Struthio camelus: one gene and its partners. The protein of the gene in region 2 interacts with the protein of the main gene of each other region in a biochemical or structural test. Links are inferred from orthologs where the notes say so. Each region holds a gene or a part of one and is shown on either strand. Other genes may lie near its edges.

Region 1 (6,910 bases), about 29 Mb from region 2:
ATGTGGTTACCTTGGAGAAGGGAGGAAAAAAAAGTTCTTCTTTTGTTTAGTAAGTATAAGTGGTCAGGGATTGGTCCCAATCCAAACTGGAAGTGAGCAGCATGTTTCCCAGCAGCGCTGAGTCCCTGTGAGTTCTGCCTGGACCATGGTTCAAAAGGAAGAGCCCCACTTCCTGCAGCACTCAAAGCCAGTTTCTTCTCTGCCCTATATTCAAGCGCAAATAAGGCCCAGATCTAAAGTGTTTTTATGATTTAATCAGATCACATCTTCACATCTTGCAATAGGCACAGAGTTGAGCAAAACCTCTCCTGACAGGAAACTATTCTGTGACCTACTTGAACATACATCAAGTTATACCATAACTGTAGCAAAGTGGTACCCATTCATACAACCCGCTGACAACAGAAGCATGAATGAGGAAAAGTGGAAGCGCCAAGAAAGCATTCAGCCCAGGCGCCATATACCCACTGGCTCCCTGAAACTTTGCTTCCTGTGTTTGTTTAACACTGCATAGGATTTTTCACCTTAAGAATTGAAACTACGTGGCCCAGCTAGCAGCCCACTGCTTTTCCTTGGAAGAGGGGCTGCGACTGCCTCCAGAAGCCAAATAAGCCTCTTGGCAGTCACCAAGAGCTTCCTCCCATGGCTGCTCTCGACAGACCGGGAACAAGTCTCGTACCTCAGCAGCCAGCCAGGCCCACGCTCCTCCAGGCTGTCTCTCCAGACAGCATCTTGTCTCCCTGGGGCAGGCTCAAAACCCAGCTCTCCCACCCACAGTTACCGAGGCCAGACAAGCTGAGGTAGACGTGGGCTTCACTGAACCTCCCAAATATACAACAGTCGTCCACAAAAGAGTGTCTTTTCGGCAACGTAGTTTTTTCTCCTGAAGGGTGAGTATTGTTGAAACAAAATACTTTGTTAGCAACGTCATTCTTGACAAGGAAGGTAAACCTTGTCCCTAAGAGACAGACCTATTCCCAAGAGACTTCTGTTACTCTTGGAGAGATTTCATGATCCTATTTGAACATACCAGCCACTTCACTGTGTGAGGAACTGACCTCTCTTTCTTATTCCATCATGCCTCCACTTACAAGGAATTGTAAAAAACCCATTTTTCCCCCTCAAAGGGTCTCTTATGAAGATGCTATTCTCCCCATATGTAAAAGTCCATTTGTTTTTTTTCCAGAGTTTTGCCTCACATGATAATGTTCCTGCTTCTGCATCCTGACTCTGAATCATTGCCTGTGAGTCTGAGGCAGAGGATGACCGAGTGTTGCCAGAGCTGTAATCACCACGGGGCAGTGGTCAGTTGCAAGTCACCCATTCCCAGGTCCTGCTTTGTCAAGCAGGACAGAAAGCTACTGCCTTTTCCTTCATAAAATGCACTTGGAAAAAAAAAAAAAAAGACCAAAAACAGAGGAGCAGGGTGCAGGTCTGAGGAGAGTATAGCAAACCAGGGATTTGCCCCGAGAACTAACACCCTCTGTTCATCAGCAAAAATACATTTCTCTAGACCTGGCTAAACATTTGTTAAAAGCAGGTTCAATTTCATCAGTTGTGCCAAGTTATGTTAGTAACATAACTAAGGCCTGATGCTAGCATTACACTCTGGTCGTGAGAATTAAGGTAAATCAGGCTGATCCCTTTGCAATAAGTAGTGCTGTCACACTGCAGTCAGCAGAACGACAGTTTCGTCCCTTGTGCTTCGCATAACATAGGAAGTTACGGGCATCAGCAAGCCATTTAAAGAAATATTGTTGGTCCACAGCTTTTGTGGTACAATAACTGACCACTGCTGTTACTTTGGGCAGAATTACCAACACCTTGGCTACAAATATATGCATCAACTAATACAAATATCTGTAGTACAAATTAAATCATACAATGGTTGTCCTTCAGAAGCATGCAAGTTCTTTGAACTATAAAGACAACAGGCAGAGAAAAAAAATGATATATATGTATCAGGCCTTCTTCCTCATGGCAACCTTTATCCTGCTTTGTCAAGGTATTGCTTTCTAGCTCATTTGATTTTAATACCATTATTTTCTTACCCTATTTCTGCAGGAGAGCCATTGTAGACTGTTATAAGTGATACTTTGGCACACACAAACTTGTGGCTTTTCTAAAGCACAGTTCCAACTTCAGCAATGAGAACACAATAGGTTACAGAAAAACATCAAAACAAGCAAAACACGTTAGAGGTCAACGGTTAAGGGAGATTAAAGACATTTTTCCATGATCTTTGTGTAGACAGCAGGAATCACAGAGTTCCATTATCAAATAAGCAGAAAGTGTTTTACGTATTTGAGATACAAACACTTATATGAAAGTTAGACCATTCTGCACCTTATCTTGTGTACTCAGTTTATAAGCTAACACAATATACAGGGAACTAATCTAGAATAGGTTTCATCTATATGGGGGGAGGCACAAAATTTTTTCTTGCTGCTGTCAAGCAATTCTGTAAAGTTAACCACTTCCTAGTTATTTTATCATTAATTACAGGATACTACAGTATCATGGCCTTTCTGAAAACAATGTGTTTCAGGCTAAGATAAAACATTATCAGTTGTATATTGTTTTATCAGCTCCATTTTATTTATCTCCATTTGTAGCCACTATAGGCAGTCAGCCAGAGTTTCTGGATACATTACAACGCTCACAATACTGAGCACACAGCTAGGAATTAAAGTGTAATGTAACTAAGGGCATAATTTTAGTTGCCTGACAATCAACTATTTTAAAGCATTAACTTCTGCTGTAACTTCCAAAACAAGGAGTGCTCCTTCTATGCCTCTCGAGGAGCTAATAAAAAAAATGGCATATGAGAACTAAAGTCACTTTATGAAAAAGTATATTTTAACTATGAAAACTCCAAATCTTCATCCCTGTTTTTCATAGCTATGCAAGCGTGCACACGCACACAAAAAAAGGAAAAAGAAAAAGGAAAGAAAAGAGAGAGAGAAGTAACCAGGTGCTAAACCTTACCTCATTGCTAGGTTTTTAGTGACTTCAGCAGGCAAACCTATGTAGAAATGATTTGGGTCAAAGCATTCATAATACTCGTTTTAAGAATGAGCAGAGCATGTAAAGCATCCCTTCCTACAAGGATAAACGGAGAGACAAATGCAGTAACTTCATGATAAGCCCTAATTTCTTAAACAATAAATCATGGAAAATAAAATCTGAAAAAATATGAAAAGAAAGACTATCATAGGGGATCCTGATAGCAAACGGCTTTTCCTGCTATAATCCCCCTACAAACAGCAGTTGCCAAAAGACTAAAAGAAGCAGCGGCACAGAGTGATGAAGCCCTGAAACTGGGTACAGCAGGCTACTGAATACTCCCCATCACTTGGGTGCTGCTTCGAAAGGAGGCAGCCTACAACTTCTGCTCTGCAGGCCAGTTCCCTTTCCCCAACCTTTTGCGGTGCTGCCCACTACAGCGCTTCGTGCAGGGAGGTGCACCTACGAGCACAGCACCCGTGAAACAAGATGAGAACACTGCGCTGTCGAGTCCTCTTCCACACGTTCCAGCAGACCACTCTGCTCAATGGGAAAAGCTTTGTGGGAGATGAAACATAGAAAAGTATCTAGGAGAGACAAAGCAAGAAAGGGAGCCTTTGTGGGGGAAAAAAGCAGGGAGGAGATGGACAGCCACGCAAGAAGAGAAAGCACCAGCGCTCCTGCCCAGGGAAGGGAGACAGCTGCTTTTGGTGTGAAGGGCAGCACGAGCCAAGCAGCACAACTGGCATGCGGAGAAGAAGGGCACACTCAGAATCACTCTGGGTACTCACTCAAATGTCACTGGGAGTCCGTTCATATGGCCCGTGCCCTCTTTGGGCCAGGGCTACTCTAAACTTTTATATACCAGCCATAACTAACAACTCATCTTCCACTTGCTGGACAACTCTGAGAGAAATTAAACAGCAATGCTTAACTCTGCAGCCATGCTGTGTCAAAGGTAAGATAGTCAGATAAAGCACCTGCAGCATTTACTCTAAAATAAAAACAAATGGTCAAGAAAGAAACAAGTACTCCCAAGACATATATGTAGCTGCATTTCTACTACAGTCAGCTTTTTCAGTCTTTAAAAGATACGCTCTTGTTTGACTCACAGAATAACACCAACTATTTCACATTAGCATTTGGAAAGATAAAGGTATACCTTACTTTAGCAAGTAGAAAATTCACAGAGCATCTACACTTAAAGTCCAATTTAAGGTTCAGATAGTTACCAGTTCTAACTTAGAGGGACTTGGAAAAAATTGGGAATCCGGTTACCGACTGGGCTGGTTGCAAGTATGCTGTTTTTGAGCGTTAGACTACGTTAGAGCATTCACCACGGTGAAAGGACAGTCACATCGCAGGACAGCGGGCAAGGGAAGCTATTAAGATTGCTTAACTCTCACAAAGTGTCAAAGTATACTGAGACACGACAGATTAGTGCCCCTTAGCACAGCAGTTACATAGTTACAAGGAAAGACCTTCATAGCAGAAAGTCATGTAAACAAAGAAATACAAAGCAAATGCTAGCTTTAAAATGGGCTTGATAGTCTGGACTACAGCGCCTTATATTACAGAAGTCATAGTAATTTTAAGCAGAGGTTTAAAGCGTGGCTTTTATTATAGCCTGCCGTTTACAGAACTCCATTGCATTTGGACGCTATTAGTTTTGAGAAATACTTCTACGCTTGCTGCATCGTACACGCTTCAAGGTGCGAGGACAGCGGCAGCGCAGCGCGCCGCGCCGCGGCAGCCGGCTGACAGCCGTCCCAGCAAGGCAAAGGCGGCCGAGCCGCCCCGCCCGCCTTACTAGCGGCGGGCGCTTCTGAGGGGCAGAAACGCGGCTGCCTGCGCCGGGCGCCCACACCGGCCGGCCCAGGCGGCAACCGCTCCCGCCCAACACCAGTAACATAAAATTAAAGCAAAACAAAACAAAACCCCTCTCTGCCACCCGCCGGGCAGGGCGGCCCGCGCCCGGGCGGGCGCCGACGGGGGCGCGAACCGGCGGCCCCGCGGCTGCCTTACCTGCAGTCGGCCGAGCGCAGCGCGGCGCCGCGGATGGGGCCCCGACGCCGCCGGTGCGGGGACGGAAGCAGCCGCACTCGCCCTTCCACCGCGGAGAGCGGCTCCCTACGAGGCAGCGCCGGCAGAGGAAGCGGCGGTGCCGCTGCGCTGGGGGTGGTGCGCGGGGGCGGTCTCCGCCTCCCCCCCCCCGCGGAGCTCTGCGCTGCGGCCGGCGTTGCCCTAATCGCCCACCTGGCTTGCGGCAGGTGTGAGGCGGCGAGAAACTAAAATAAAAAAGGTGACCCACATGAAGAAGCCCCGTTTCACTGGTGTTTCCACCGAGCAAAGAAAATTTTAAAAGGGGGGGGGGGTGCAAGTTATAAAACTCGGAGCAGGATGCAAACTCTCCCCCAAATCTGCGTGCGCCTAGCTGCTTGCACCATCTGGAGTTACAATGTGTGTGAGAAGTGTTTTGGCTCAGGTGCTGCTTACTCTGAACGATGTCACAGTGAAGAAAGAGCAGGCACACACGGGTCTGGGGAAGCGGTGGGGCGCAGCTCCTCTCTGTCCCAAGCGGGTTGTACCTTCCGTCGCGGCTCCTGGCTTCTGCGGGTCAAATCTGCCCCAAGCCTGGAGAGAAGCTGGGGTTACAATTCCTTCCTTCATACCTAACTATGCATAATGGTCACATCCAACCACCCCCAAGCTCAGGCACTCGTTTACAGAAGACAAAACTGAAGGCAGCTTTTCACACCAGTCAGGAGCTGGTGTTGAACTCAAGTTTTGAGGTCTATAGTGAGATATCACCCAGTCCCTCTTCCTGACCTTGTCTTAGCCCAATCTCCCCTGCAGCAACTGTCAGTTTACAAAATCCCATCAAGGGAAAAAAGAGCTTGTAAAGATCATTTAAAGCACATCTCAAATATTTTTAAGTATCAGTCCAGCAGGAAGAGAACTTGGGGCCTATGCTGCTTGGAAGCACATTGTTTTGTTGTGACTAGTATGTAATGGCTGGATCAGCACAGATGTCTTTCTGTTCAGCCTGGAGGAAATGACTTGCAGAGTAGTCTTTGTTTTCACTTGGGGGATTTCCTCCGAAGCATGCATTCGCCACTGCCGTGTCTCCCATGCCTGTCACGCTGCTACTGAGCCCAGGGAGCCATGGGGAACCTCTGCCACATGCAAGGGACAGTCACCGTGTAGCCACCTCGCAGGGCCCCGTCTCACCAGCCCTCTCCCACCACCCTCCACGCAGTCCCTGCACACTCACAGTAGCACACACTTAGGTGCTTATGCAGACCACCTAACCTGCTGCCACCATCAGTTTTGCCAAGTGGGCACTACACTGGCAACTGCAACTGCATTTTTGGAGCAACAGCAGCTATAGCCGCCCTCCTCTCCTCCTTCCCCCCCTCCCCCCACCTGCTGCTGTGGCAGGAGGAAAGGACAGTAAGACTAAACAGTTGCTTAAGGAGGGAGCTGGAATAGCATTACTCAATACAGTGCCATTTCTAAGTTCCAGAAAGTGTCATTTAGCGGAAAAGGATTATGCTACAATGTGATACGATCAGGAGCCGCTACATCTTTTCTGGGACTTTACCCCTGGGCTGCAGGGGCAGCAAAGGCATAGAAGAAAGCCCTTCTGTGGTCCTTTGCCATGTTGCGGTTGTCCTCCCCAATGACTGCTGACCTGGAGTTAGCCAATTTGAGTTGACAGATCAACTAATGGAGGATTTTTGGTGGAGGTATGGATTACAACAAGTTTTCATTTCATGTTTTATAAGGCTTTCTAATTCTCAAAAGATTTTCTGGCTTTTCTGATGCAGCTAGTGCTGGAGATGCTCTCTCCCTTCCTTCCCACCTCATTCCACCACAGTGGCTGATAAAGCCTTTTGTGGGA
Region 2 (7,513 bases):
CCATGCAAATCAAAGGCTCACAGGTGCCCTGCAGGCGCAGCTTCAGCAGGTTTTGCACGGTTGCATGAGGGTCTGTATTTAGTCAGGAGCTGAAAAACGTTTCTCAGTGTCAAAGCACGTGGGATGGGGTTGCAGCAGAATATGTGTCTTGTAGAAGGCAAATCGTCACAGTTTCAGTTCAAAACTGGTCACGTGGGCTTCTTAACAGGAGGTAAGGCCCTACAGACCCTCTCATTTGCCTCCTCGTCAGACTGGGGACTGCTGAAACCTAGCAGCCTAGACCTGAGGGCTCCTGTTCAGCTAAAGCATCTTACGCAGGAAGGGCTCTAGCCTGGGATCAGGAAGTCAACAGCTAGCAAGTCTGCCAGAGCCCTTGAGGGAAAGCACAGCCCAAAGGAGCCCTAATCTTCAGAAGGAAAAGAAATTCCAACCTGAACTGCAACTGATCTCAAACGAAATCATGCTCCCAATATAGAGGATCAAAAATCACAACCAGCTCCTTGCAGAGAGATCAGGCGCAGCTCCTGCGCCTCTTGCTGCAGGCCAGACCTTTCTAAAACACATGCCATCCTCGCAGCACTTTGCTAACCTCTTCCCAAGCTGTCAGTGTGCTTCATGAGCACAAGCATCCGGCTAACAGCTACCGTGTAAGGGACAGCGTGAGCACCTTCCTGCTCCAAGCAGCTGTTCCCCTGCCCTGCCACTGCCCCACATCACTCTGTGAAGGCGCTCCTGTGTGTTCCCGGCTCAGCCCCACAGGCCCTTTCCAGGGAAAAGGCAGCAACACCGCACAAAATGGACTTTGGCACAGACAAGGAACGATTCCCAGTGCCATACCTGTGCTCCTTGGCCTGACCAGCAGGCGCTCACTGCGCAAACACATGTGATTTGACAGCAGGCTGCAGGGAGAGGCAAGCAGGGACAAAAAACGGCTTAAGATAAGTCATGCTCAGCAAACATGTGCGTCCTCGTGGGAAGGTCCCAGGATTGCCAGCTTCACAACCAGTCATCATACGGGGCAGCCCTGACCAGCGCTCACAAAGCTGCAATCAGCAAGAACTCTACCCAGAGCCTTGCAGGCATCTCGTCTGGCAGAGGAGAGACGGCGGACCCAGAGGGGCCGGGCGAGCGCGGGAGGCCCTGCAGGGCAGCGGGGATGGCCGCACTTGCTGCTCTGCAAACTCTGCCTTCCCACGGAGGCGTCTCAGGCAGCTGCGGTGTGAGGTGCGGGCAGGCAAGCTGCTACACTCGCTGGCCACAACTGCTCTAGGGAGGAGCTGCAGAGCTGACCGCGCTCCCCAGCGGGGCTGGCTGAGCTCCCTCAGGGCCCAGGCACAGAGGGCTCCGCCGCAGGCCTGGCACTGACAGGGGGCACCCTGGCTCCAAAAAGGGGCGAGCCCCAAGAACCGGCGGAGGGGCGACAGTCAGCACTGCAGCTGGCTGCAGGTTTGGCTCCTGGTGCCAGCTGCACACGCAGGGCTCTCCGTGGCGTTGTTTCCGCCCCTCCAGCGGCGGGAACGGCAGGCAGCGATCAGGCCAACGCAAGCCGGGGTCCACGGAGGGGCGCAAGGCTCTAGGCAGAGGGAAAAGAGCCAGTCCTCGAAGCGTGAGCGCAAGCAAGAAGCTACCCGAGGACAGGCTGAGGAGTCCCGTTACCACGCGAGTCCCGTTACCAGCACGGCCAGGAGCTACGCGGAGCGACCCGGTGTCCCGCAGCCGAGCTCCCGGGACCAGGCTCCCCGCGCCGGGCGCAGCCAGGCTGCCGCGGCTGCGAAGCGAGGAGCTGTGCAGCCTCCTCCCTCCCTCCCGCACGCCCCCATGCCCCGGCCTGCCCCGCGCAGACCTCCCCGGGGCCCTGCGGGGCCACCGGTGCCCCCACGGAGGCGAACCGCGGCCGGGCTCCGGCTGCAGGACCTGGGATGCCCCCGCCGCTGCCGGCCCCGCGCTCACCGGGAAGGCGATCTCGCACAGCTTGGCCACCCACTCCTCGCTCTGCTGCTTGTCGGCCGCGAAGAGGTAGCTCCTGTCGCTGGTCTCCAGGCAGAAGGCGGCGGTGCCGTGGCGGGGGCCGCTCTCGCCGGCGGGGGCCACGCTCACGCAGTCGGCCAGCCGCACGATCTTCTTGTCCAGCCGCTTGGTGCTGAGCTTCTCGGGGGCGCCGGCCGGGTCCTTGCAGTCGAAGAACTCAAGGCGGGCGACGCCGTGCTGGCTCGCCGGGTACAGCACGAACCAGTTCTTCTTCCAGCGCTGCGGGGCGGCGGGTCACGGCCGGGCTGGGCAGCCCCCGGGCGACCCTGACCCCCCCGGCCCGGCCCCCCCCCAGCCCCGAGCCCCGACCCCCCCCCGGCCCGGCCCCCTCCAGCCCCGACCCCCCCCCCGGCCCGGCCCGGCCCCCTCCGGCCCCGACCCCCCCGGCCCGGCCCCCTCCAGCCCCGGCCCCGACCCCCCCGGCCCGGCCCCCTCCGGCCCCGACCCCCCCGGCCCGGCCCCCTCCAGCCCCGGCCCCCCTGGCTCAACACCCCCCGGCTCGACCCCCCCCGGCTCCAGACATGGCCCCCTGGCCCCGGCCCCCTCCTGCCCCGACCCCACCGGCTCGACCCCCTCCAGCCCCAGCCCCCCCCCCGGCTCGACCCCCCCCGGACCAGCCCCCCCGGCTTGGTCCCGGCCCGGCCCGCACCTCCGCCGGCCCCGCGGGAGGGCAGCGGCCACCGGCGGCGGAGCCCGGGCCCCAGCGGCCCCGGCCCGACTTCCCCAATCGCGGGCGGGCCGGCGGCAGGGAGCGGGCCGGGCCGAGCCGAGCCGAGCCGAGCCGGGCCGAGCCGAGCCCGCCGGGCCGGGCCGAGCCGAGCCGGGCCGAGCCGAGCCGCCCGGCCCCGGCCCCACCTTGGCGCCGAACTTGTGGCTCTGCTGCACGAAGAGCGGCCCCTCCTTGGCCGGCGGGTCCATGCCGGCCGCCCGCTTCCGCCGCCCCGCGCCGCGCCGGGCCAGGGCCGCGGGCGGGGCCAGGGCGGGGAGGGGGGGGGGGGGCAGGGCTGGGGGCGGGGCCAGGGCGGGGAGGGCGGGGCCAGAGGGCGGGCCATGCCCCACCGCAGCCGGGTGCGCGCGCGCCGGGGGGTGGGTGGGTGGAGGTGTGTGCGCGTGTGCGCGCACATCTGTGTGTGTGTATACGTGTGCATGCATATGTTTGTGTGTGTGTGTGTGTGTGCACACATCTGTATATGTGTGCATGCATATGTTTGTGTGTGTGTGTGCACACACATCTGTATATGTGTGCATGCATATGTTTGTGTGCACATCTGTATGTGTGTATATGTGTGCATGCATGTGTTTGTGTGTGTGCGCGCACATCTATATATGTGTGCATGCATATGTGCGTGCACATCTGTATATGAGTGCGTGTGTGTGCACATCTGTATGTGTGTATATGAGCGTGTTTGTGTGTGCACATCTGTATGTGTGCATGCATATGTTTGTGTGCGCGCACATCTGTATATGTGTGTGTGCATATGTGTGTGCACACATCTGTGTGTGTGTGTGTGTGTGTGTGTGTGTGTGTGTGTGTGTGTGTGTGTGTGCGCGTGTGTGCGCTCACACGCATGCATGTGTGTAAGAAAACTACCATTATTTCCATTGGCATAGCCTTGATTAAACTTAGCCTCGGTGCTTGGAGTAGCGCAGCCTGCAGGCCTAAGCTTGAACTTTACCCGAACCTGTGGGCTACTGCTGACACAAGTGCGGGGCGGCTCGAACCAGCCCCCAGAGGCACAGCACCCGAGGGGCAGAGGCAGCCGTGAACCTCCCATAAGGTAAGGCACCGCGAAGCGGGAACACAGCAGCCGTCCTGGGACGTGGACACGAACCAGCGAACAGAGACCAGCGACTCCGTAAAGAAGATTGGAAGAGACTGTCGCTGGCAGGCGGGGAAATCAGGCTGTAAGGAGTATAGGTATCCCAGAATTTCTTTGTTCTGGGTCCCTCTTCGGAGGCACCCAGCTCAAGCTGAAATAAACGCTCGTAGAGAAGCCTGACTCTGACTCTGGTGAAGGCCTGGGGCCCCTTATAGCAGTGTGCGTGCCTACCACGCACGGTAACTTGTGCACGCCACGCCTGCACACCAGTCAGCTGTGGGCGCTCGTTCCTGCCACGCACCAGGAACGTGTGTGTGGGTCTGTATGGCACACCGGTAACGCGCGCACCAGGTACCGCTAGCGTGCGCGTGTGCTGCGCGCTGGTAACGTGTGCACACCGGGTCCCGCACAGTGGTAGTGTGTGTGCATGTGTGTGTGCGTGTGTGTACCTGCCCAGCACCCGTAAAGGGTGCACTGGTAACGTGTGTGCGTGCGTGTGCATGTGTGTGGGCGTGTGCACGTGTGCGTGCCACCGCACACTGGTGAGACGGCACAGGGTATTGTGCAGTGGTGACACCTGGCACAGCAGTGCGTGTGAGCTGGCACGGCGTGCTAGTAACATGTTTATCGTGCACAGGCGACGTGTTCCCCACACGCCGCTACCGTGCGCCCACCTGGCTCCGCGTCCGCTCCGGTCGGTGACACAGCCGAGCCCCGGCCCGCCCACCGGGCCCCGCCCGCCGGGGCCGCCCCCCGCGCTGCGGCGGCGCGTCCCCGCGGGGGCGGGCGGGGGGCCGCGCCCGGCCCGTCCCTCCGGGCCCCCCGCGCACCGCTGCGCCCCCGGCCCGTCCCTCCGCGCATCCCTCCGCGCACCGCTGCGCGCATCCCTCCGCGCCCGGCCCGTCCCTCCGGGCCCCCCGCGCATCCCTCCGCTCACCCCCGCGCATCGCTGCGCGCATCCGTGCCTTCCCTCGTCCCTCCCTCCCTCCCTCCGCCCGCCCGAGCACCGGGCTCCGCCGCTCCGGCCCGCGGGCATGGCGGAGCGGCCGCGCTTCCTCTGCGGCGTGGTGGAAGGTAGGTGCCGCCGGGGCCGGGGCCGGGGTCGGGGTCGGGGCTGGTCCCTCTGCCCGGACAGCACTGGGACGGGACGGGAGACTGGCTCTGAGACGTAGTGCCTGGGGCCCCGGGCATCGGGGAGGCAGCGGCCCGGGTCCCTGCCCGGTGCCCCGTCCCCGCCCGGGATGGGGGACCGGCCTGGGTCCCTGCCCGGCGCCCCGTCCCCGCCCGGGATGGGAGACTGGCCCGGGTCCCTGAAACTCCCCCAGCTGTTCCCTAGCCGTCCAAGCAGCAGCCGCCTTGCACCAGGGCATGGGCACCGGCTGCTCTGGCTCCAGCACTGGACAGTGCCTCTTTCTCTGCCCTGGGCACGGAGGTAACATCCCTGTGTGTGCTCCCACTGCCTCCATACCCCCAGCGCGGCGCTGCCCTGGCTGTGCTCGGTGCTGCCTGGGCCAATCCTGCTCTCAGAGGGCTGCTCGGTGTGGCTCAGCCCCAGTCCTTGCAGCACAGCACCTCTGGAGCTGGGCCGGGCCTGGCACCCACTGGGCAAAAGCACTTCCATCTTTCCTGGCAGCCCTGTACCATACAAGTAAATACAAATCAAAGAGAAAGTGGGAGAATAGGGAAGTTGATAGTAAAAAGAAATTTGAATCAGACAAGAATCATTGGTATGGGAAAGCTGACCTGGGAAAGAGACCTCCTCTTCAGGGAGGAGGAGGAGGTTTCTGGAGAGTGAGGAAAGAAAGGCATCCGTGATCCCAGTAGCACAGGGTCTGGCAGGGTGTGCACAGTGGTGCTATGGTGGGCAGGCTGCTGAGCAGGGCACAGCTGCGTCCAGGCCCGGGCAGACCGGGAGTGTCCTGCCCAGATGCCCCTGCTCCCTCCTGGTAGCCGAGACATCACCAGCAGCAGAGAGCCTGGATGGGCCAGAACATCTGGGTGACCACGCAAGACAGGGGAGCTGGCAGGGTCTTGGGAGGATGCTTTCCAGCCAGGCACATCCTAGCTCGCCCAGAGGTCGGCAGGCAATGATGTTCACTGATACAGTGATCTGGACCTTGGGAGAGCAAACAGCCTCACTCATCAGTGCTTGTCTGTTTTTAAGGAAGCAGTGATTCAGCATCACCGCTTTGGAGATGCAGCCACGGGCACAGGCAGGATTTTGCTGGCACAGTTTAAGCCAGTTTTCTGAGTGGGCTAGGGACGGCACCTCCACCAGGGCTGCTGCTGGCAGGGCCATGCTACGAGGCGAATCTCATACTTTCAAGACAGTGTCAGCTCACAACAAAGTGTGAGCGTGGCCCTTGCAGGCAGGTGCTGTATGGGGACTGCTGGGACCTCATCGTGAGCTGAACAGGAGTTCCCAAGGATTGGGAAATGGAAAATCCATTTCCTATAGAAATACTTTGAGTGAGATGTTTTCTGGGATCCCTGAGTGGCCACATATTTGACCCCATGCATAGGACTAGCAGAGCAAATATATATCGTTTCAAAGTAGATGGAGTATGCTTGTGAATGTTCAAGAAGGTAAAACATCTCTCTGCAGCAAACACTCAGTGTGTGCTGTAGCACAAGCCACCCCATCCTTATGGCCCAGGGTTAGTGCTGAGGGCTGCAAGATGGGCTCCTGCCAAAGGGACCTTCCCAGGTAGAGTGGCTCTACTGCGCTCAAGTGCTTTGGGGAAAGCTTGTTCCTGGGCGATGCTGGCCTCATGCCAGGTGCCAAGAGCTGGCCCTTTCTGCCAGACTAGCAGAGTCATTGTGATCTGCCCTTGTGCGCAGCCCGGCCCAGCCCAGCAAATGCATTCACTTATTGAATCTCTGCTCTTGTTGTTCTCATCTGATAGGCAAGTGCATTGTCTGAGTTAAAAGCTGCCCATGACGCAGAGCCCATCTGAAACTGGGAAGCTGCCCTGATGGCTAATTGCCATCACTGTTCAAGACATAATGCATTTTCTGTGAGGCTTCTAATTGCAGCCGCCAGGTCTTGCCGTGACTTGACCATGAGGCTGAAGGTCCCTGCCTTGCTAAATTTCAAATCTATGCTTGAACACTTACAGGTTCTCCTTAACCTCTCTTCAAGAAGCAGTCAAATTTGCAGCTCTCCAGACTCCTTTACCTGCCTATTCCCGCATTGTCCCCAGGTGAACTAGCATCTAAAGAAGCTCCTCCAGCCTAAGTGGAGAGCTGAGGATGGACATGCTTGGTGCATAGCAAGGCTCAAGTGTTGGAGGAGGGTGAGGAGCAGACGAGACGTGCCATTCCCACCACAGCCCCATTCCCTGCTGCTCTGGCTGGCAGGAGGGCACCCAGGGCAGATGATCAGCTTGCAGCGCTGCAGCCACAACCCTGTGTCGGACACTGGTGCCTGACAACCTCCCGAGCCTGCAAGCAGCAGAAGCAGAAATGCTAAGAAACGCTAGGGAATTTGCTGACTCCAGATCTGTATTTCCTGCATTCAGTTTTGCTGAACAACCTTCTGGAAGGACAACGTCCTTCTGGCCAGCCTCGGCGCTCATTAATGAATGTCCTTGCCAGCAGATAGCCCTAAGATTGCTCCCCAGGTGCCTCCCTCCAGTGGCCCTTCCCTCTGCAAGGCTTTGGTG
Region 3 (7,764 bases), on a different chromosome or scaffold from region 2:
TTAAGTATGGTTGGTTGGTTGTGTTTTTTATTAAGATATTCCAGAAACCTTAAATAGGAATATAATTGTTTCTTTAAGGTATCCTGCTGAAGCCAAAGAGGAAGAAACTTTAGAGACCAGTCACTCCACACAAGCAAGGGCCTAGGCACATCTGCAATGATGGTAAAAACTCACTATTGCCAGAAAACAAATAGAAAATTTAGTTTTCAACTGTTTTGGCATAAACGTCATCTCCTGCAGCTAAAGAAACTTGTACACCAACAAACTTGTTCAATCTCATCATGACAACTATCTCCTCATCCTGTCCTTAACGGTATTTAAAAAAAAGCCTTCAAGAATACAAGAACCTGAATAAAGTATTCCCCCCTCCCAAAAAAGCCAAGTTTTTATAAGGAAGAAAAAGAAATAACAGTTCTGAAGCATATGCCTACCCTTCGTATTCTAAGTCCAGTTCATTACCTTTTTAAAAAAAAAAGTCAGGAAATGCTACTTTTCTTTCTCCCTTCTAGCAGGAAGTCTCCTTTAAGTTTAATTTTGAGCCATCAACTGTGTCATTGATTTTTCTCCAAGAGTTTGAACAAAAATACTATGAACAAAACCATCTAATCAATCCCATTAATAGCTCTGTTTAAAAAAAAAAAAGGTCAGTCCACAGCATGCAAGGTCTCAAATCTGTCTCTGTACGCTAGGGGAGCAACCACCAGTTCCTATATGCAATCAAAAGCTTGAAGTGATGTGGTTCTGAAATGTTTGTAATGTGCTTGACACAAGATTCTAAATAAATAGGAAGTGAGCAAGTTGGGGTCAGCTAAGTGACACCAAGTTTTTAAGTGGCTGAGGAAAGCAAAATAAGTTATTGCCATACATGACTATGAACAGGTTCTTATTTTCAGAAAAGCACATCCATATTCAGGGAAGAATTGAGATAAACATAAGGATTGCTTCAATGTAGGTTTTTCCTCCCAACCATCTGCAAGTTTAAACATGCGCATAATGCTGGGCAGCTCCATTTAAGTAGCCCTGCAACTGTGAAAGATGAGCAAATTCTTCACCTATTCATCTTTCCAGCCAAAGCACAATTGTGCAGACTTTCTAGCAGCTTTAACAGTTCTAGAAGCTAGTGACTTGTCACATCCCTTACATCACTTGACAGCTCTGCAGAAAGATTTTTTTTGACCATCTGAGTTGTGGAATTTGACAAGATATTGTCAACTTTTGACATTACTGACTGTTAAGAACATCACTATGCTTAAAGCCAAGCTTAACTCGTGAGCAAAAAGCTCTTTTTTTTTCCTTAAGAACTTATTTAATCTGCAGATGATAGGAACATTTTAAACTGCTGAATTTAGTAGTGAACTAATTTGAATTTGTTTGTCTGTGTGTGTCTCACTATTTATCTAGCTTTTATTTTCACTCCATTCTGTACAGGAAGCTGAACAGCTTTGAAATAACATACTGAGAAAAGCTTTATAAATCAAAGTAAGGAGCGAGCAAGTTCATCAATAAATCTAAAATAGTTTACTGATGCAAGCAGCAGGTTATGTCTCATGTTGGGAACAGAACAAAGAATGAGCTCATAGCTATGTCATATTTTTCCATCCTCCTAGAGCAGCATTTTTTAGTGTAGTGCATGCAGTATGCAGACACAGGCATACAGTGCCATTACCAGGCTGGGAGAAATATTACGATTTCCATTCTTCGGGGGAAGTGAACTCCAGAAGCTTGGGAAACGCTGTCCTAGAACGCGTTAAAACTAACTTAACAGGGTGGTACAGCCTAACCACGTAAAGGCCTTTTCTGTTCTAACCGCTGTGGACGCGGAGACGGACAGCTCTGAGGCTGTATCTCGATCGCTGAGTGGAAGAGCTGTGAACCAGGTCCTCAACCGCCCGAGGAGCAGGACAATACCGCCAGGCTGATACAAAGCGAGGCCACACCCACTGCGAGAGAATTGCAGTCGGGGGGCAGAGATGCACGCAGCACCTTCGCACATGCCCACGGGCTCTGTAAGGACGTGCACTGCTATAGCCGATATACCTGCAAGAGCAGCTCGGAACGGCCGGTGAGATCCGGAGTGCGGAGGATCGCTGTTGGAAGCGGTTCCCAAGGAAGGGCCCTCAGGGGCCGTTTCCTGAGCAGGCACGGCGGGGCCCCGCGTCCAGCGTGGGGATGCCGGGGCCGCGGGGGGGGGAGGCTGGCACTCACCTGGGCGCCGGCTCGATGAGGGTGGTGGTGTCCAGGTAGTGGATCTTGTAGAACTCCAGCAGGGCGGGCAGGTGCTCGAACTCCTGGTCGCCGATCTTGAAGCGGCGGTTGGGCAAGGAGTTAATGATGTAGTGGGAAACGCGGGAGTTCTCCGACACCGAGAGCACGTAGTCCCCCGGGCAGGTGGACGAGTCCCGCACCAGGAACATGCCGTGCCGCTGCCCTTGCAACCGCGTCTGCGCCTCCGCCCGCGACACCGGGCCCACGTACCAGCTGGAGCGGTCCGACGAGTCGAAGCGAGCGGCGGAGGACATGGCTCCGGGCGGGGAAGGGGAAGGGAGCGGGGCAGGAAGGTGAAGAGCCCGAAGGCCCAGGCGGAGGCAGAGACGCGGAGAAGGGAAGGCCTGGGCGGGGAGGCGGAGCGGGCTGGGGGCTAGCAGGAAGCGGCTAGTGCTCAGCCAGCGATAGGAGGCCCGGCGGGAGAGAGAGAAGGAAGCCCCGGGCCGGCGGAGCCCGAGCAGCGGCCGGGGCGGGGCAGGGCGGGCGGGCGCGGCGCGGCGGTCGGGGCCCCCGAGTCTCCCTCAGCGGCGGGGTGTGCAGGGCATCCTTCCCGCCTCGCTCGCAGGCCTGCGGCGGGCCGGGCTGGGCGAGCGGCGCCGGCTCACTAGGACGGGCGGCGAGGGGAGCCCGCTGCCGCTGCCTCGGGGGCTGGGGGGGATGGGGACGGACAGAAGCGCTCGGCTCCCGCTTTCTCCTGCCGGTTTCCCTCCACTCTCGGAGCCGAATGCTAAAATGGCGGCGGCAGCGCCGGGCGGTGGGAGTTTTCCGGCGGCGGCGGCCGCGCAGGCGCGTTGCGCTTCTCGGCTCGCGCCGGGGGGGGGGGGGGGGGGGGAAGGAGGAGGCGGCGGCGGCGGCGGCGGCGGCGACGACCGCGCGCCGCGGGGGGAGGGGCGGCGGTCTGAGGGGCGGCAGCGCCCTCGCCTCCCCCCGCCGGGGCGGTCCGAGCCTTCCGCGGCGGAGCCCCGGCCGGGCCGCCCGGCCCGCTGCTGTGGAGGCCGGGGGGAGCGGGCCCCCCCCCTCCTGGGCGGCCGCCCCGGAGCACCGAGCAGGCCTTACCGCGGCCTCCCCCGCCCTCCTCCTCCCCCCACGAAAGCCTGCCTAGCCGAGCCTGGCCGCTCCTTGGGCAGCGCGTCGGGGGGGGGCCATTTACCTCCTTCACCCACCGCCGTGCCCCCCTCGGCGTGCCCCGCTTCGGCCTGTCCCCGCTCCATCCCTGTGTGCCGGCCGCCCCGTCCCGGGCGAGGGCTCCCTGAGGCGGAGATCAGCCTGGCTGAGGTTTTCTTGTTCTGTTAATTGAATTTTTTGGAAGGGCAAAAGGCACCCCCGTGATAACCCCCTCTGAGGGAGGTAAGTTCCTACGTAGCTCAGGAGAGGAGACGGTTTCCTGTCTCTTCTGCTGGGCCTGTTCGCAGCTAACGGGGGCGAAGGCCTTCGCCTCTGGTCTCGGGGGCGAGGAGGGCGCCGGGCGGGAAGGGACGACGGCGATGGCCTTGCAGCCGCCAAGAGGAAGGAAACCCCCGGAAAGGATGCGGCGAGCCCCGAGGGCAGGGCAGGCGGTGCAGCATGAGCTGTTTGAATTTTAGAGGGAGCTCAGCGCGCTGTGACCTCAGAGGAGGAGCGGGAGCGTGGGCAGCGAGGCCTACGCCCTCTGACTCAAGTTTGGGAGGGCCGCTGGTGGTAATTAGCGTATCCCACTGCAGTGGGCAACGGCATGCCAAAATAAACAGCACCCAAAAGACCTAGTTCCCCAGACATGTGATAAACCTTTACAAACATTGTGATTTTAGCTCGCTCTCATGACTTTGTTTAATTTGTGTCCTTGATTTTTGTTTTTCGTTTTGCTTTTGGGGCTGACAGCGTGAAAATGAAGCAGCTTTAAGCATGTAAATAACGTTTCAAGAAGAGACGGATTTAGGTTGACTGTTTTGAAGTGCTCAGTTGGACCTATTGTGTCAGCTTATTCCAGCTTTGATATTTTTCTTTCATGCTCTGTCTTTTCTGAAAGCTTAGTTACAGCACGGTCTTTTTTTTTCTCCTTGTTTTTCTTCCTACGTTGGCCACTAGTGCCAGTTGAAGTGTTTGGACTGGAAAGCATGGGATGTATCTCTCTAGACATTCAGCATAGTTCAAACGATCTAAAATGGAAGACTTGCCTACTCGGATGCTTATGGCTTAAACAAAATTGTTCAAGAAAATCTCATCACTAGCGCGAAAGGATCTTAAAGCATGCCCCTAAATACATGTACAGGTATCACTTTACCAGCCGTTGAAGTACAGCCATCTCCTGGGTGGAAAACAGCAGCTGTTTAGCCATGTGCAGCAGTGCTAGCCAAACTGAGCAGACCTAAAGGTGAAGAATACCGTCTGAAGCTATACAGCTGTGTAAAGATATTCTTCCATTTCTAGGGCAACTTACCTGGCAGCTATACCTCTGATTCATTCCTACTGGTCTAAGTTCTCATATCTGTCAATTGGAATCAATTTTAAATGCATGCAGACAGGCTACCACAAACTATGAAGGGTGCTGTGTTTTCTTCTGTCATTTGAACGGATTTGGATCATTTTCTGTGTGGCCATAGCCAAAATGTAGAGATTGAAAGATAGTATTTCAATTTGCAATAACATACCCAACACCATTTAAACATAATTACAAAAAGTCACAAGTTAGCAGCAGAATCAGTAAAAAATAGATGCCTTTTCATCCAAAGAAGATTCTAAAATGTAGCGAGGTTTTCAATTTGGAAGGAGCTGTCACAATTATCTGTTCTGACCTCCTACATTCTTGCAGGCTGCATGTACCCTTCAGGTAATTCCTGCTTCAGTTTCAGTAGCTGTGGTTTAACCAGGCCAGATCTAGGTAAAAGATCCCATTTCTATTACACTAAGAGAAAAGAAGTAACTTGTTCAAGATTGTTAATACTACTTGCTAAGACTGGGCATCAGCTACCTAGACTACAGGCAGTGATTTTAGATGTGTTAAATCCCTACAACTACTGTTTGTCTAGGAAGAGTGGAGAAATGTATGGATTTTTAGGACTGTTTAATGGAACCACTTTACCTTTTTATTACATATACAGAAGTTTATGCTCTTTCTCTCACCCATTGGTGGCTTCCACCCTCTCAGAGGATGGTCGAATGGTTGCTGCAGCACAACTGAGGAGGTGGGGATTTCTTAAAGTGCATCAGCTGCTGATGAAATAAAAACTCTGTTGGCACAATATTCCCTTGAGAAGGTTCCTGTCCCTCTTTCCCCATGCCCAGCTGCTCCTTCCTCCTTTCACCAGAAGCTTCTGCCCCTATCAGTTGTACTGAATAACAAATAAATTGTACATGTGGCTGGATTCTAAGTAAGGAGAAGTAAACTTCTATCAAGGGTATAGAATGAGACTCCTTATTTGTTTCAGATCAAGTATGAATTGTGCTTCCACAGCAAAATTAACAACCCTAATCTAAATCAAGAGGAAATGGGAAAGGAGACGGTGGATTTGGAAGTAGGTGGAGAAGAAATACAGTAGTGAAAGCAGTTATGAAACAAAAACTGAAGCAGTTACAATCACTTCTCCAAATGCAGAAGCCTGAAATAGTTCAGGATACATGTCCACTAATTACAAATCTAGCAAATATGCCTATATAACTTTGCCTCTGCGCGGACAGGAAATAGGAAAATAGATGATCAAGAAACCTAGTTATTATTCTTTTGGACTTTCTAATGTATCAGCAGTTTAAGCATTTGTATTTTGATCACTTAGTTCTGAAAGAATTGTGTGGCTATTCTCTTACAGACCTCAAATATTTAAAGCTTTCTTAATTCATTGTCCATCTGACCTCAATGTCTTATACTATACTACTGTCTTAGAGGACTGTTTTTAAAAAAAAAAAAAAAAAAAAAAAGGAATGCTTCTTACTATAAGACTGACACATTTAGGAGGCAGAGGATTTATTTAAAAAAAAAAAAAAAGAAGAATCAGCCAGAAATCTCTATGCATCTTTTTCTTAAGATAACACAACATTTCACTGGGCTCATGAAGGCAAGGTTCCTGAAGCATTATCTTTGATAAGAAAACCCATCAATAGTAATCATGGCTCAACATATCAATGTATAGTCTCTTGCAATTTCTCTCTATATGTAACTGCAGTAAACAAGAAGAACAAAGCTCTTTACACCTGCCAATTTAGGTAAAAGTGCCAATTCTAAAACAAAGCAATTTCATTATTGTTTAGCCTATGTGTTGGTTTGGAAAGGTACATGTTAGACGAAAGCGAGCTACTGCTAAATGATTAGATTGGTTTGAGCTAAGCTAAACTCTGTTTTCTACCCAAGCAAAATACATGCAGGTAAGGTAGTACGTATTATAACTTTTGACAGTCACAATACACCCCAGATGAAAAGAAATTCTTGGGGTGAAAGCAACTGAAGCTTTGTTTTTTGCTAAATCAAAATACATAATATCTGCTCTTAGGTTTAGTTGATGTAATTTAACTGTATTTTATCAGTAACTGAAAAAAAATAGAAAAAATAGTAGAACACTTCTCTAACGTATGTGATCTGCTTGAAGAAAAAGTCATTTCCTCATAACTACATTTTAAGCCTTATATTGATTTGCTTTGCACAGCATCCAGCTGCAACATTTAATAAATAATGCAATCGCAAAATTGCATATACTGACTAATGGATAGGAAAAATGGGGATCACCTGAAAATATCTACAATCAGTATTCAAACACTGAAGGAGTGATAGGAAGAAGTTGGAAAAAATAAAAACATGAGTTATCACAAGATGTTTCTCTAGCTTAATAACTACTCACAAATATCTTATATTCTCCCCTGTAATCCAAGAATTAACCTATCATCTTGGTTATTTGCAATAGTATATAATACCCTCTAGTGGTATACACAGGAAAAGGAAACAGAAGCCAGACAAAGTTTTTTTTTATCATGAAAGAGCCTAGAAAACATTTTCACTTGCAGAGCATCACTGGTCTTTCTAGAACTGCTAGTCAAAATGTAAAATGCACTGCAAGCAGTACAATTAGACTTCAGCTAGATAGCTGGGTTTAGTTAGAAGAGTTGGGTTTAGAAGATAACCTGCACCACCAAGTCTTGAATGCCTTGTTCACAATTTGCAGACAAAACAAATTGCCGCTGCAACACGTGCAATCTGGTAAGAGTGGGTCTAGTGATGTCCGGGTCAGAGAGATCTCACCTGACATTTGAGAACTATGTTTATTTCCTTCATACTAAAAACAATTTTGTAGGCAAAATATAAATACTCCTCAGTCTCCAATACTGCAATGTAACAAAAGCTATTTGCAGCCTCCATGTGCAGTTCAGAGTTTGTTATCAGAAAGGGCTTCCTGAAGAAGCTTATATGCAGGGTTTCTGCATTTACCAGGTCTGTGCTTTATTTGCCAATTGGCAGTGGTTCAGAGATGGAGGTGAAAACTAACAGTGCTGGAGGGGAAAAAAATCCACCTCCCTCTAATCAAGAAAAAGCTGCTG

What was found.
Region 1: of the proteins of DOK1 (region 2) and TEC, one has a biochemical effect on the other in vitro, tested with the Homo sapiens proteins (2 studies listed by BioGRID, with this or other methods). The link is inferred for Struthio camelus from reciprocal best matches to the Homo sapiens genes DOK1 and TEC.
Region 3: the proteins of DOK1 (region 2) and CRKL form a complex in vitro, tested with the Homo sapiens proteins (2 studies listed by BioGRID, with this or other methods). The link is inferred for Struthio camelus from reciprocal best matches to the Homo sapiens genes DOK1 and CRKL.

What each region holds. Positions count from the first base shown.
Region 1 is NC_090945.1:58,357,500-58,364,409, reverse strand, and holds the start of TEC (tyrosine-protein kinase Tec), read right to left. Parts: upstream 3,009-6,910; 5' UTR 2,994-3,008; coding exon 2,989-2,993; intron 205-2,988; coding exon 11-204; intron 1-10.
Region 2 is NC_090945.1:87,727,755-87,735,267, reverse strand, and holds the start of DOK1 (docking protein 1), read right to left. Parts: upstream 3,002-7,513; 5' UTR 2,947-3,001; coding exon 2,884-2,946; intron 2,248-2,883; coding exon 1,951-2,247; intron 1-1,950. Other genes in the region: protein O-GlcNAcase-like, read left to right, coding at 4,883-4,922. UniProt on the Homo sapiens protein: DOK proteins are enzymatically inert adaptor or scaffolding proteins. They provide a docking platform for the assembly of multimolecular signaling complexes. DOK1 appears to be a negative regulator of the insulin signaling pathway.
Region 3 is NC_090958.1:9,180,497-9,188,260, reverse strand, and holds the start of CRKL (crk-like protein), read right to left. Parts: upstream 3,009-7,764; 5' UTR 2,520-3,008; coding exon 2,206-2,519; intron 1-2,205. UniProt on the Homo sapiens protein: May mediate the transduction of intracellular signals.